Oryctolagus cuniculus: one gene and its partners. The protein of the gene in region 2 interacts with the protein of the main gene of each other region in a pairwise test. Links are inferred from orthologs where the notes say so. Each region holds a gene or a part of one and is shown on either strand. Other genes may lie near its edges. The genes, in order: GSK3A, LRP6 and LRRK2.

Region 1 (3,442 bases), on a different chromosome or scaffold from region 2:
CCCTAGTACCTTGACCCTCAGGGCGCAAGGTCATACCTAAGAAGCACCAAGTCCCTCACACTGCTGATGAATGCCTGTCAAACCCTCGTGCCCACCACCTTTTCTTGGCCTTCCCCCATCCTGAAAGGTGGCACTGTCACCCTCAAACAGGTGAGGACATACAGGCCCTGGAAGCAGGCATGCCCTCGTGGTGGCAAAGTCTCACCTCCGGCTTCCCCCAAGGTCCCCGCCAGCCAAGAATGGAGAGCTGACCAGGGGGTTCCAGAGACGGGAGGGACTCTGGAATCAGGTCAGCTTTCAGATCCCAGCCCTGCACACTCCCAGTGGTGCAGTGGCCGGCAGGGGCCTCCTGGCTCTAAGCTTGAGGCTGCTCATCTGTAAAATGGGCCTGTAGCAGCACTGGCTTCCCAAGATGGTGAGGACTGAGTGAAAGGGACCCAGTCTGGCACACAGCATGGAGAAAGAGCTCAAAAACCGCCCAGGGGCACACATTCAGCCTAGCGGTTAAGAAGCCCCCCTCCCATATTCAAGTACCTGGGTCTCATACCCAACCTCAACTCCAACTCCTGATTCCAGCTTCCTGCTAATGCAGACCCTGGGAGGCAGGTAATGGCTTAAGTAATTGGGTTCCTGCCACCCATATGGGAGACGCTGACGAGTTCCGAGCTTCTGGCTTTGGCCTGGCCCAGCCCAGCCAGTGGATGGGAGCACTGTTTACCTCAAATTTAAAAATAAAAATAAAAACCAAATACCGCCAAGACTGTCATTCCCCACCTCCGTCCTCCCATAACTGACCAATGGATGAGGTGTAATCGGTGGCTCCGAAGATGAGCTCTGGGGCCCGGTAGTAGCGGGAACAGATGTAGGACACGTTGGGCTCCCCGCGGACCAACTGCTTTGCGCTGTGAAAGAGACAGGCAGGGGTGAAGACGAGGCAAGGTGTAGGGACCCCTGCCCCTGCAGCCCCCTGCGCACCCCCGCCCAGGCCCACCTGCCAAAATCGCAAAGCTTGAGGACAGCGGTGTCGGGGTCCACCAGCAGGTTCTGCGGCTTGATGTCACGGTGACACACACCCTGGGAGTGGATGTAGGCCAGGCTCCGGAACAGCTGGTACATGTACACCTGGGGCGGGCAGGACAGAGACGTCGGGCCCAGCTCTCCCCACGGGGCTGACCACCGCTGTCCTGGCCTCAGGGCCTGCTCTCCTGCTGCCCTCAGGGAAGCCCACTCTTAAACCCCTCACTCAAAGGGTCTGTTTAAACAGGGACTGCTGCGCTCCGTGCCCTCAGTTTCTGATTTGGGACTTCAGGATGGGGCATCGGCAACAAGCCCTCGCTTGCAAAAAGCAACACAGAAACTCAGAAAGCCCTGTCACAAAGCAGGCTGGAAAACCAGGCCCTGGGCTTCCTCGCCCACACCACTGCCTCTAAGAGGGGCTCAGATTCTTTAAGTCATGATCAAAACCACCCAGGAGGGGCCAGCACTGTGGTGCAGTAGGTTAATCCTCCGCCTGCAGCACTTGCATCCCATATGGGCACCAGTTCAAGTCCCAGCTGCTCCTCTTCCCGATCTAGCTCCCTGCTATGGCCTGGGAAAGCAATGGAAAATGGCCCAAGCACTTGGGCCCCTGCACCTGCGTGGGAGACCCAGAGAAGCTCCTGGCTCCTGCCTTCAGATCAGCCCAGTTCTGGCCACTGCTGCCATTTGGGGAGTGAACCAGTGGATGGGAGACCTTCCTCTCTGTCCCTCCCTCTCATTCTGTTACTTCACTTTTCAAATAAATGCATAAAATCTTAAAAAAAAAAAAAAAAAAACCTGCCTCCATTCCATCTCCATTTTCCTACCACCCATCCTCCCACTAGCTAGAACCTGGGTGCCAAGGGAGCAGGCACCTCTGTTTGCATCACTGTTGCTTCCCCCAGGGCCCACAGCAGGACCTGGCCGACAGCGCCTCAGCGGCACCACCACACACAACACTGCTTCCCAAGCCCCTCCTCCTCCGTCCCCACTCCCCTTGACCAGAGATGCTGCTTCCTCAACCCGCGCTGGTCTCCTGGAAGCCTTCCTCAATCCTCCTCCCCACCCAGGCTGGGCTGGGGGCTGCCCCAGCATGGCAGTAGCTGGTAAGTTTGCAAGTTTCCTGGGACGTCTGTCTGCCTTACCAAACTGAGCTTTCCACGGCAATACTGGGCTCACTTGGCAGCCTCTGGCCTGCTCAGCACTGAGCCAGTAGGCAGGCAGCCACGGGACAGGGTCACCCCACCAGAGAACTCCTCTCCCAGGAGGTGAGTTCCAACAGCAACAAGCAGTGGCAGAGCCGCGTCGGCTCACGCGGGCGCAGGGCGCTCACAGCCAGCAGCGCGGGCCACCGGGCCCAGGCCACCTCCTGCCAGTGCAGCAGGGCGCTCCAGCCTCTGCCCTCCACATCGTCCCTGCGCTGCATTCATTCACTCACGCGTCAGTTCATTCATTCAGACACCTCCTGAGGATCTGCCACACCCAGGGCACGGTGCCGAGCACCGGGGAGGGAGCCTGCAGACGAGGCGCGAAGGCACATTCCCGGTTCTGTGGACACTGAGCTCCTCCCGACCCTAGCTCCTTGCCACCTACCCCACCCCCCACGGTCCCGAAGGCCCGGACCCTGACCTCGGCAGCACTCCCTCCGCACTCCTTTCTTTGGTGCTAACCCCAACGTCCCTGAAGCTGCCTGGGCTCCCGTCCCAGTGCGGATCTGAGCAGGCACCCGGCAGCCTCCTCAGACCCCTGGTCAGGCCTCACCTGGCCCTCCCCCGTGAGCTGCATTTGGGGTTCTTGGGATGAGGGCGGGGGGCACAGGCCCTCCAGGGCTCCTGGCTCTGTGGCCTGAGCTCGCCCGCCCGCCCGCCCGCCTACCTTCACGTAGATGATAGGGATGGTCAGTTTGGCCTTGGTGAAGTGGCGGGCCACCCGGTACACGGTCTCGGGCACGTATTCCAGCACCAGGTTCAGGTAAAGCTCATCCTTCTGCAGAGAGCAGAGGAGCAGGGTGAGGCACTGCGATGCGGGGCGGCACATGGAGAGCAAGGGGGGAAGCGGGGAGGCCCAGAGATGGGTGGGGCTACGGTGCAGCACCCCGCCCCCGTGCGCCGGTCTCACCTTCTCCCCACTGGAGTAGAAGAAGTATCTCAGCCTCACAATATTGCAGTGGTCCAGCTTACGCATAATCTGCAGCTCTCGGTTCTTGGGAACAGAGAGAGAAAGTCTCAGGACACGGCCGGCTCTGCACCGCTCCCTCGCACACCCACTCCCCCGTGCCCGCCCACAGAGCCAGGCAGCTGCTCCCCGTGTCTCGGCCCCGAGGTCCCTCTGGGGTCCCCTCGAATGCTTCACTGCCAGCCAGTTCCTCTTCCACACAAGCTGGAGACCCGTGTTAAACCCACACCCCAGGCGTGTGTGAGAATTT
Region 2 (3,643 bases):
CACAGGGTTCTAGTCCCGGTCCGGGCGCCGGATTCTGTCCTGGATGCCCCTCTTCCAGGCCAGCTCTCTGCTGTGGCCAGGGAGTGCAGTGGAGGATGGTCCAAGTGCTTGGGCCCTGCACCCCATGGGAGACCAGGATAAGTACCTGGCTCCTGCCATCGGATCAGCGCGGTGCTCCGGCTGCAGCGGGCCGGCCGCGGCGGCCAATGGAGGGTGACCCAACGGCAAAAGGAAGACCTTTCTCTCTGTCTCTCTCTCTCACTGTCCACTCTGCCTGTCAAAAAATTTTAAAAAAATAAAAAATAAATAAAAAAAAAAGAATATAATCCGTAACTAGGCCATGTTCCTCAAAATGGGCAATGAAGCTGTAAAGGACAATACATAAAGCTATTATTTACCCTTCAGCAGGGTCCAATGCTAGAGCTCTGGGGCTATCTAGATCTTTCCACACCAAAACCTGTCGATGTTGCCCATCCAACTTTGACACCTCAATTCGATTTGTTCCTGTGTCTGCCCAGTACAAGTTCTTCCCTAGCCAGTCCACAGCCATGCCTTCTGGATAGTCCAAGCCGAATTCTACCACATGTTCCAGTGCACTGCCATTCATGAAGGCTCTGCTGATGGTCTGCAAAAATAAAATGAACAAGTCAGTCACATGGCTTACGAATCGAGCACAATTCAGAAACAAGGTCTGAACTGCTTTCTGTTGGGAACAGGATAGTTCATAAGCACCAATGTCTCTTAACAACGTTGACAAAATTTATATGCATACATAAATATACTAATCTCTACTAAACACAACTGTGATCTCAAATTTTATTGTCAATTCAGTTGAAACTGTTAAGAACCAAAAATCAATTCTTCAAAAAAAAAAAAAAAAAAAAAAAAGGTAACAGAGTGATTCTTCTTTTAATTCTTCTTTTAGCAGTAATCAAGTGCAAAAGATCTGACCAGAATGCTGTAGACTCTTTACTGGTAGTCAGCTTTCCAAAGTATGTGAGTATGCCAAGTCATTGATTCAATCCGAGAAACTCTAAATAACCTTATAAATCGGAATAGCCATTACTATCCATTAGTACCACTAAAGCTTTGCATTCCAAAGAATTTGAAACCACCACATTTTAAGCTATTTATAACAGATGCTACTTCCTGTTGAACACGGGTTAAGTACTCTGTGCCCACAGATTTTCTCACCTAATACGCTCAACAGCCCTGCAAGACCGGCAGCACCTCAGCTGCAGAATGAAGGAACTTAGAAGGCCCCCCAGTAAAAGCCAAGATTTACTTATGTACTTCATTTATTCACTTGCTCAATAAAATTTACTAAATATGACTAGAATCCAACTCTCTGTGGGTCCTACGCCCATGCTTTTGCATATTAGATAAAAGTTTATGTACATTATCCAAACCAAGCCCGAATCACTGCAGAAGAAGAAGAGATATTCTCCAGATTCTCTGGTCAGGAACTTCCCCCTCTATCCTTGTATGTTTTTCAATATTTATTTTAGAAAGAAGAAAATAAAGATACACTATCATTTTAAAGTGGTCTTTTCTTTTAAAAAATAATGTGTTTATTTATTTGAAAGGGAGAGTGACAGTGAAAGAGGGAGAGGAGGAGAAAAGAGAGACCTTCCATCCTTTGGTTCACTCCCCCAGTGCCTGCAGCAGCCAGCCAGGGGGCTAGAGCTGTGGTATAGTGGGTAAAGCCACTGCCTGAGGCATCAGCATCCCATATGGGTGCCGGTTCAAATCCTGGCTGCTCCCAATCCAGCTCCCTGCTAATGGCCTGAGGAAGCAGCAGAAGATGGCCCAACTCCTTGGGCCCCTGCACAAATAAAGGAGACCTAGAAGAAGCTTCTAGCTCTTGCCTTTGGACAGGTCCAGCTCCGGCTATTGTGGCCATTTGGGGAGTGAACCAGCAGATCAAAGATTTCTGTCTGTCAGTCTGTCTCTAACTCTTTCAAATAAATAAATAAATCTTTAAAAACTATGCAAAACAAAACAAAAAACAGCTAGCCAGGGATGGACCACACTAAAGCCAGGAGCTAGAAACTCAATGCTGGCCTCCCAGTGGGTGGCAGAAACCCAAGAATTTGGGCCATCATGTGCTGCTTCCCAGGCACACTGGCAGAAGTTGCATCAGAAGCATAGTAGCCAGGACTCAAATGAGCATGTCACATGGGATGCTGATGTCCCAAGCAGCAGCTTAACCCACAGTACCACAACGCCTGCCCTGATAACTGGCATTAACAACCTCAGTCAGGCTCCAAAATTCTGTTTCAAATAAGTCAAGAGCCAAGCCTCTATAAGCTGTTTTATGTGAAGCATACTACTATTTACTCAGCTAATTACAGAAAACATCACTCATCATCTTCATGTGGAACAAACTAGAGGGAGATTATTTCTTGCAGATTTAGAACACTAGCAAAATATCTTGCATTAAAAGGTACCTAACGAAATACTGAATGGGCCTTTCTCGTCACTCCTTAAAAAAGTTAAAAAAGGGTTTCTGCTGAACTCTACCTAGCAAGCAATGAGGGAGATTGGTCACAGTACAAAGATTCAGACACTTTAGAAGTCCTCTTTTTAGTCACTCATTCTTTCGCTAACCTTGAGTGATATATCAGTCCAGTAAATTCGATTGTCTGTCACATCAAAATCCAAAGCAGAAGCTTCTTTGACGCCAGTGAGTGGAATGGCCACATTATTATTATTTGTTTCCAAAGAAATCCGTCTGATATCGGCTCTCCGTGAAAACAAAAGAAAAGCCTCTGGGACAATGCAGGTCTTCATGTCACTGATGAGCTCAAAGCCAATGGGGCAGGCACAGCGAAGGCCCTGAGGTCTATACAGGCAAAGATGGCTACAGCCCCCATTTTCCTCAGCACAAGGGTTCGATCCTAAAAGAGAAGGGAGTGATGAGGGGCACAAAAGCACCAACACTGACAAAAACCAACATTTTCACTTGAAAATTAGTTAGGTATCTGGTTCACAAAGACCTATGATTGTATGCATCTGCTTTCAATCTGGAGTTTCAATTCTAATCTCAAAATCAAGCAATATTAAGATTAGTCGAGAGTGAAAGTACAATGAAACACTTGCTTTTTTACCCTTAGAATGCTTTAAAATAAATTGCATTATTCATATATAGAATTAATTTTTTGATGACAGCATTCAAGTGTCTATGTATCTATTTGTAGCCATTCCAGCTGTTGAAGCCAGAGTTTGAAGTCAGCATTTAGAAGACCCCCTTCTGATAACAAAGGGGGAGGGGTTTAAACAGAAATTCTCTATTGTCTTATATCACAACATTCACAACTTACACTGTTGATTTACAGCTACCATCTCCTTCTCTCATTCCTGGTCTCTACTTCTAAGTAAATTCTGGAATCACTTACCAATGATTCGATGAACATTCGTGGCCTTCAGGCCCATGAGGTCAGGCAGCTGATCTATGATGATTTCCCTCTCTGCACTTCGCTTGTGTACTCTTTCGATGCTACGTCGTTGCCAGTCAGTCCAGTAAACGTAGTCACCCAACAGAGTGAATCCAAATATGTGAGGAATCTTGTCTTCCACCAGTACTCGTCTTCCAGTGCCATCGGTATTCATAACCTTCAAGTTTAAGTTCAGAGACAGAGAG
Region 3 (4,295 bases), about 22 Mb from region 2:
TTGGGCCTGCTCACAGGCTGGCTGACGGAGTGCCGGCTTCTTACAAGTGGTAATCCAGTGGTCTGGGAAGGGAGCACCTGGTGCAAAGGGATTAGGAGGAGGGCACAGAGGGAGAACTCCTAGGGACAGCGCAGTTACTGCCTCTGCGGCCGGAAGTTCAGACAGGTTCCACGCCGATTGGAAAAGCACACACTGGAGATCTGATAAGGAGTGCAAGGCGCTGTCTGTCGCTTTTGGAAAATCTTATACAGAGAGAGAAGTACCATAGATTGCACGAACGCTTCTCTTCCCTTCAACAGGGATCAACCCACCTCTGCCTCCGCCCGTGCCAGCCCTCCCCTCCCCACGGGGGACTCTGGAGCAAACCTGAGCGCTCCGTCATTTCAACCACAAACGCTCCGGCCTGTGTGTGAAACATTCAAGGGGCATTTTCAAGGTATCCACTGGGAAAGCGAAGCCCACTCTGATTAAGGCGGGAATTGGGAAGACCTCAGTCCACCTGGGGCGAGTCCGGGCTCCCCAGTGCGCACCTGCGGGACCTCGGCTCAGCCCCACTCCCCAGCTCCAGCCCCCAGCTTCCTCTTTAGTAAAATGTAAAATGCCACCGATATGGGAACGGAGAAGCACTAACTTCCAGCCCAGCCTCTCCCTCTCTCAGGACCCCAGCCTCCACCCCCCACTCCCACCCCCGGAGGCCGCCCTGCCTTCCATCCGCAGACGCACAGGCCCACAGAGTCATTCTGGACACTGAGCAAACAGACTTGAGGTTTGGGTCTCTCACCTCTCCTTTCACTTCCCCGTCTTTCTCTCGGTTCCCACGGCGCGCAGAACCCACCCTGCCCGGCGTCCCCTCCACCACGGTGCCGCCTGCCGCAAACTCAAGCTCGCAAGTTGGTTTCTGGGGGCCTCCTGAGCCCCGGGGCTCGCGATAGCAACGGGGAAGCGCATGGTGCGTCCCCCGCCGCGGCCACGGCAGAGGGTGGCCGGGCCCTTCTCCCCGCGCACCGCTGCATCCCTGGGGCAGAGCGCATCCCCTAGCCCGAGGCCGCGATCCCGACCCGGGAGGCTGGGCCGCGTCCCCTTCGCCCAACGCCCGGATTCTATTCTTAGGTCGGCAGGCCGCCGGCTTTCGCTTTTCCTTTTTTCCAGGGCGCAGACCTCCGGCGGGCGGGCCGCGGTGGGGTCGCCGTGGGCTCCGGCCGCGCCGCCGCCACCGCTGCCTACGGGATCCGGCGCCGCCAGGGCGGGTCTCGCGGGCGTGGGCGCGCCCCAGCCGGGCCGCGGATCCACGCTTGGGCCGAGCCCCACGCAGGCCGCGGGCCCGGGGCTCGGGAGAGGGAGGCGGGCCCGGGAGAGGCAGGGCCGCGCCGGGCGGGGCCGCCTTCCCCGTGGGCGGCGCGCGCGTGCGGCCGGGGCGCGGCGGGCCTCGGAGGGCGGCGCGCGGGGCCGGCCCGGGCGCAGGAGGCCTCCTCGGGGCGCGGAGGGCGGCGGCTCGCAGCCCGAGCCACCATGGCCAGTGGCGGTGGCAGCAACCAGGGCAGCGACGAGGACGAGGAAAGTCTGAAGAAGTTGCTGGTCAAGCTGAACAACGTCCAGGAGGGCAAGCAGGTCGAGACGCTGGTGCAGACCCTGGAGGACCTGCTCGTGTTCACGTACTCGGAGCGCGGTAAGGCGGCCGCGCAAACTTTGCGCCTCGCTGCGCCCCGAACCGGTCCCGGCTCCTGCGCTCCTGCCGCCCGGCCTTCCCCGGGGCGCAGAGCGCCAGGGGCCCTGACTCTGCCTCTCCTCCCTCACCCTCTTGTCTTGCAGCCTCAAGGCTGTTTCGGGGCAAAAGCTTCCACGTGCCTCTGCTGATCGTGTTGGATTCGTATATGAGGGTCGCGAGTGTGCAGCAGGTGAGGGCGCCCCCCTACCCCACCCCGCGACTCCTTCTGCTGGGAACCCGACGTTTCCTGCCTGCCGGCGGGGAGGCCGCATCCCCGGGGCTGCTGGGCCGGGCCGGGCCGGGCCGAGCCGAGGTTTGGCCTCCGGAACCGCTGGCTGTCTTGAGGCTGGAGGCATTGTTGGGGGATCCTGAGCTTGACTTAACGGGCTGAGGGCCCGGCACGCTCCAGTCCGCTTTCCCAAGCCGCTACCCAAAGCTGGCTGCAGGGGTTGGGTGGCCGCGGGGACTGCTGTTGGCAGGAGGAGCCAGCCCCCCGTCGTGTCTGGGAGGAACCCCTCTGAACGGCTCCCCCACGTGCAGCCGCGGTCCAGACCAGACCGTCTGGGAAGGGCGAGTTTGACCAAGGGGCGCAGGGAACGGCAATCAGACGCAGTTAGGCGGCTGGAGGTCTGCGCCCTGGCTCTCCGCGGCTGCTCTTTCCAGTCTGAAGGCTTCCGCGCCTTCGTGAGATTCGGGCTGCGTTGTAGGATTTAAAGGAAGTGATGTTTGCTGATTGCCTCACCTGTTTGAGTTGGTGCTTCGCTAAGGTTTGTGACCTAAAACCTCTGTAGGAGTGAAACTTCGAGACCCTGCAGCATGGGGGAACCCAGAAAGGCGCCGAAGGCCTTCGGGGCGTTCAGGCAGGAGTCAGTGAGCCTTGAGAGTGGTTGACCCCAGGACGGTTACTCCCCAAGGTGATGACGTCCTGTGCAGCTTTTGAGATTTGGGGAACTGAGAGCAGTCCTGTGCCCCGCGGGTCAGGTCGCTGGGGGGAGGGGCCCGCGCACTGATCTGGCAGGCTGCAGCTGGGAGAATGGCAGTGTCTCTCCACCTTGGGTCTGTCTCTGTACCTGCAGCTCCTCTGCATGAGCCCTGGGCCCTGGATCTGCCTGCTTCCTATGAGAACACTTACATCTAGAGTAAATGTTTATTTTCTTTCAATGGCGAAGTGTTTGCCATCTGACAGTTGATGTTCTGTCTGCTGTCAAACCAAACCCAGAGGGAAGGGCAGGCGTGGTCAAGAGAGTCCTCATTTTAGCTCTCGAGTCTGGGTAGTTGTTAGGGGCTGGCTGATGGTGCTTGCTGCTGTCACCCACACCACCCTTCTTCCAGCATGTGCTGGGTGTTCTGGAGTCTCTCTCCCAGTTCTCTCCCCGGGATCCTGCACAGCCTTGGGTATGCACTGTGGGGAGGAGTGCTGCTCTGGGAAGCCCAAGGGAGCCAGGAACATAGTCCCTGATTGTTAATTTGAGAAACTGCCCGAGCCTGGGGTCGTTAGGCAGGTCCCTCGGGGTCTTTGCACAGAGTACCAGAGGCAAAGCGTGGTGCACAGTAAATAAGGGATGATGGACATGGCACCTTTTGATTCTCACAGGGTCTCACTGCTCGGAGAACTCCTGCTGGGTATCTTATCTAGCGGGAGCTCAGTGGACATTATGAGACTCCCTGGGGGTCTCAGAGTTGGGGGCTTGAGACTTTTCGCACCCCCAGGTTCTCTTTCCGTCTTGAGCTGCAGTAACTGCAGAATGCGTGCCAGGCACAGGCTCAGTGGTTTGACATCAGGACATCAGTTTGAATTAGGTGGTCTTATCTGAGGGATGTGGAAAGGGGCCTCTCCACGTAAAAGCAGGTTTCTCCCTCACCAGATTTTTTTGACTGTCGGCGCAGAAGACTTGAATGCTTCACCTGCTGCAAGTACATATTTAAGGAGTTAGGTGCCTGACTCTTCCAAAAGGGCTTTCTCAGAAGCCCGTTAATGTGACACTGCAGGCTCTGAGTTCTTCAGGACCTTTGTGTATTTTACGAATGCTTTAAGTAGATGACTGTTGGGAGACCTGGTAGCTAGGCCAAGTTCTCTCTCGCTGCCGTTCATTTCCTCTCTGCTCCTCAGTATTACTTTTTATCCGCACAGTCTCAGCCACTGAAAAGGGGGCGCAGAATCAATGAAAGTGGCTTACAATCTTGCTAACCTCTGCACTCCATTGTGCACTGATGAGATGCTTGGGTTTATAGGATCATTATCCTAAAGTGAAGCTACTGATGTGATTGCGCAGTAGCTGTGCAGAATAGGGGCCTTCTTCGGAAGATAAGCTTTTAATGGGCTGGATGAATGCATCGATTGTTACCTCTGCTGCTCTGCCAGAGATGGTCTTGGCTCACACACGCTCCGCCGAGCTCCTGCAAGCTCGGTGACTGCATCTTTCTGCAGAGCCGTTGTTGATGCTGCAGTTTCAACAACGAAAACAGCACAGGTTTTCTCCCTGTGTCAGCCAGGCAGGTACAGACGCGAGGTGAGCATCCTCGGTGATTCATTTTTTTCTTTTTATTCCACACCGGACACTGTTCATCATGTATTTTCTTAGATACTGGG

Evidence for each region.
Region 1: the proteins of LRP6 (region 2) and GSK3A interact in binary tests that used the Homo sapiens proteins (3 or more experiments, as listed by UniProt). The link is inferred for Oryctolagus cuniculus from reciprocal best matches to the Homo sapiens genes LRP6 and GSK3A.
Region 3: the proteins of LRP6 (region 2) and LRRK2 interact in binary tests that used the Homo sapiens proteins (3 or more experiments, as listed by UniProt). The link is inferred for Oryctolagus cuniculus from reciprocal best matches to the Homo sapiens genes LRP6 and LRRK2.

Annotation. Positions count from the first base shown.
Region 1 is NC_091449.1:12,818,457-12,821,898, forward strand, and holds part of GSK3A (glycogen synthase kinase-3 alpha), read right to left. Parts: intron 3,220-3,442; coding exon 3,136-3,219; intron 3,004-3,135; coding exon 2,893-3,003; intron 1,123-2,892; coding exon 992-1,122; intron 903-991; coding exon 796-902; intron 1-795. UniProt on the Homo sapiens protein: Constitutively active protein kinase that acts as a negative regulator in the hormonal control of glucose homeostasis, Wnt signaling and regulation of transcription factors and microtubules, by phosphorylating and inactivating glycogen synthase (GYS1 or GYS2), CTNNB1/beta-catenin, APC and AXIN1.
Region 2 is NC_091440.1:109,799,426-109,803,068, forward strand, and holds part of LRP6 (low-density lipoprotein receptor-related protein 6), read right to left. Parts: intron 3,616-3,643; coding exon 3,399-3,615; intron 2,901-3,398; coding exon 2,611-2,900; intron 626-2,610; coding exon 399-625; intron 1-398. UniProt on the Homo sapiens protein: Component of the Wnt-Fzd-LRP5-LRP6 complex that triggers beta-catenin signaling through inducing aggregation of receptor-ligand complexes into ribosome-sized signalosomes.
Region 3 is NC_091440.1:131,746,126-131,750,420, forward strand, and holds the start of LRRK2 (leucine-rich repeat serine/threonine-protein kinase 2), read left to right. Parts: upstream 1-1,407; 5' UTR 1,408-1,509; coding exon 1,510-1,666; intron 1,667-1,809; coding exon 1,810-1,895; intron 1,896-4,295. UniProt on the Homo sapiens protein: Serine/threonine-protein kinase which phosphorylates a broad range of proteins involved in multiple processes such as neuronal plasticity, innate immunity, autophagy, and vesicle trafficking.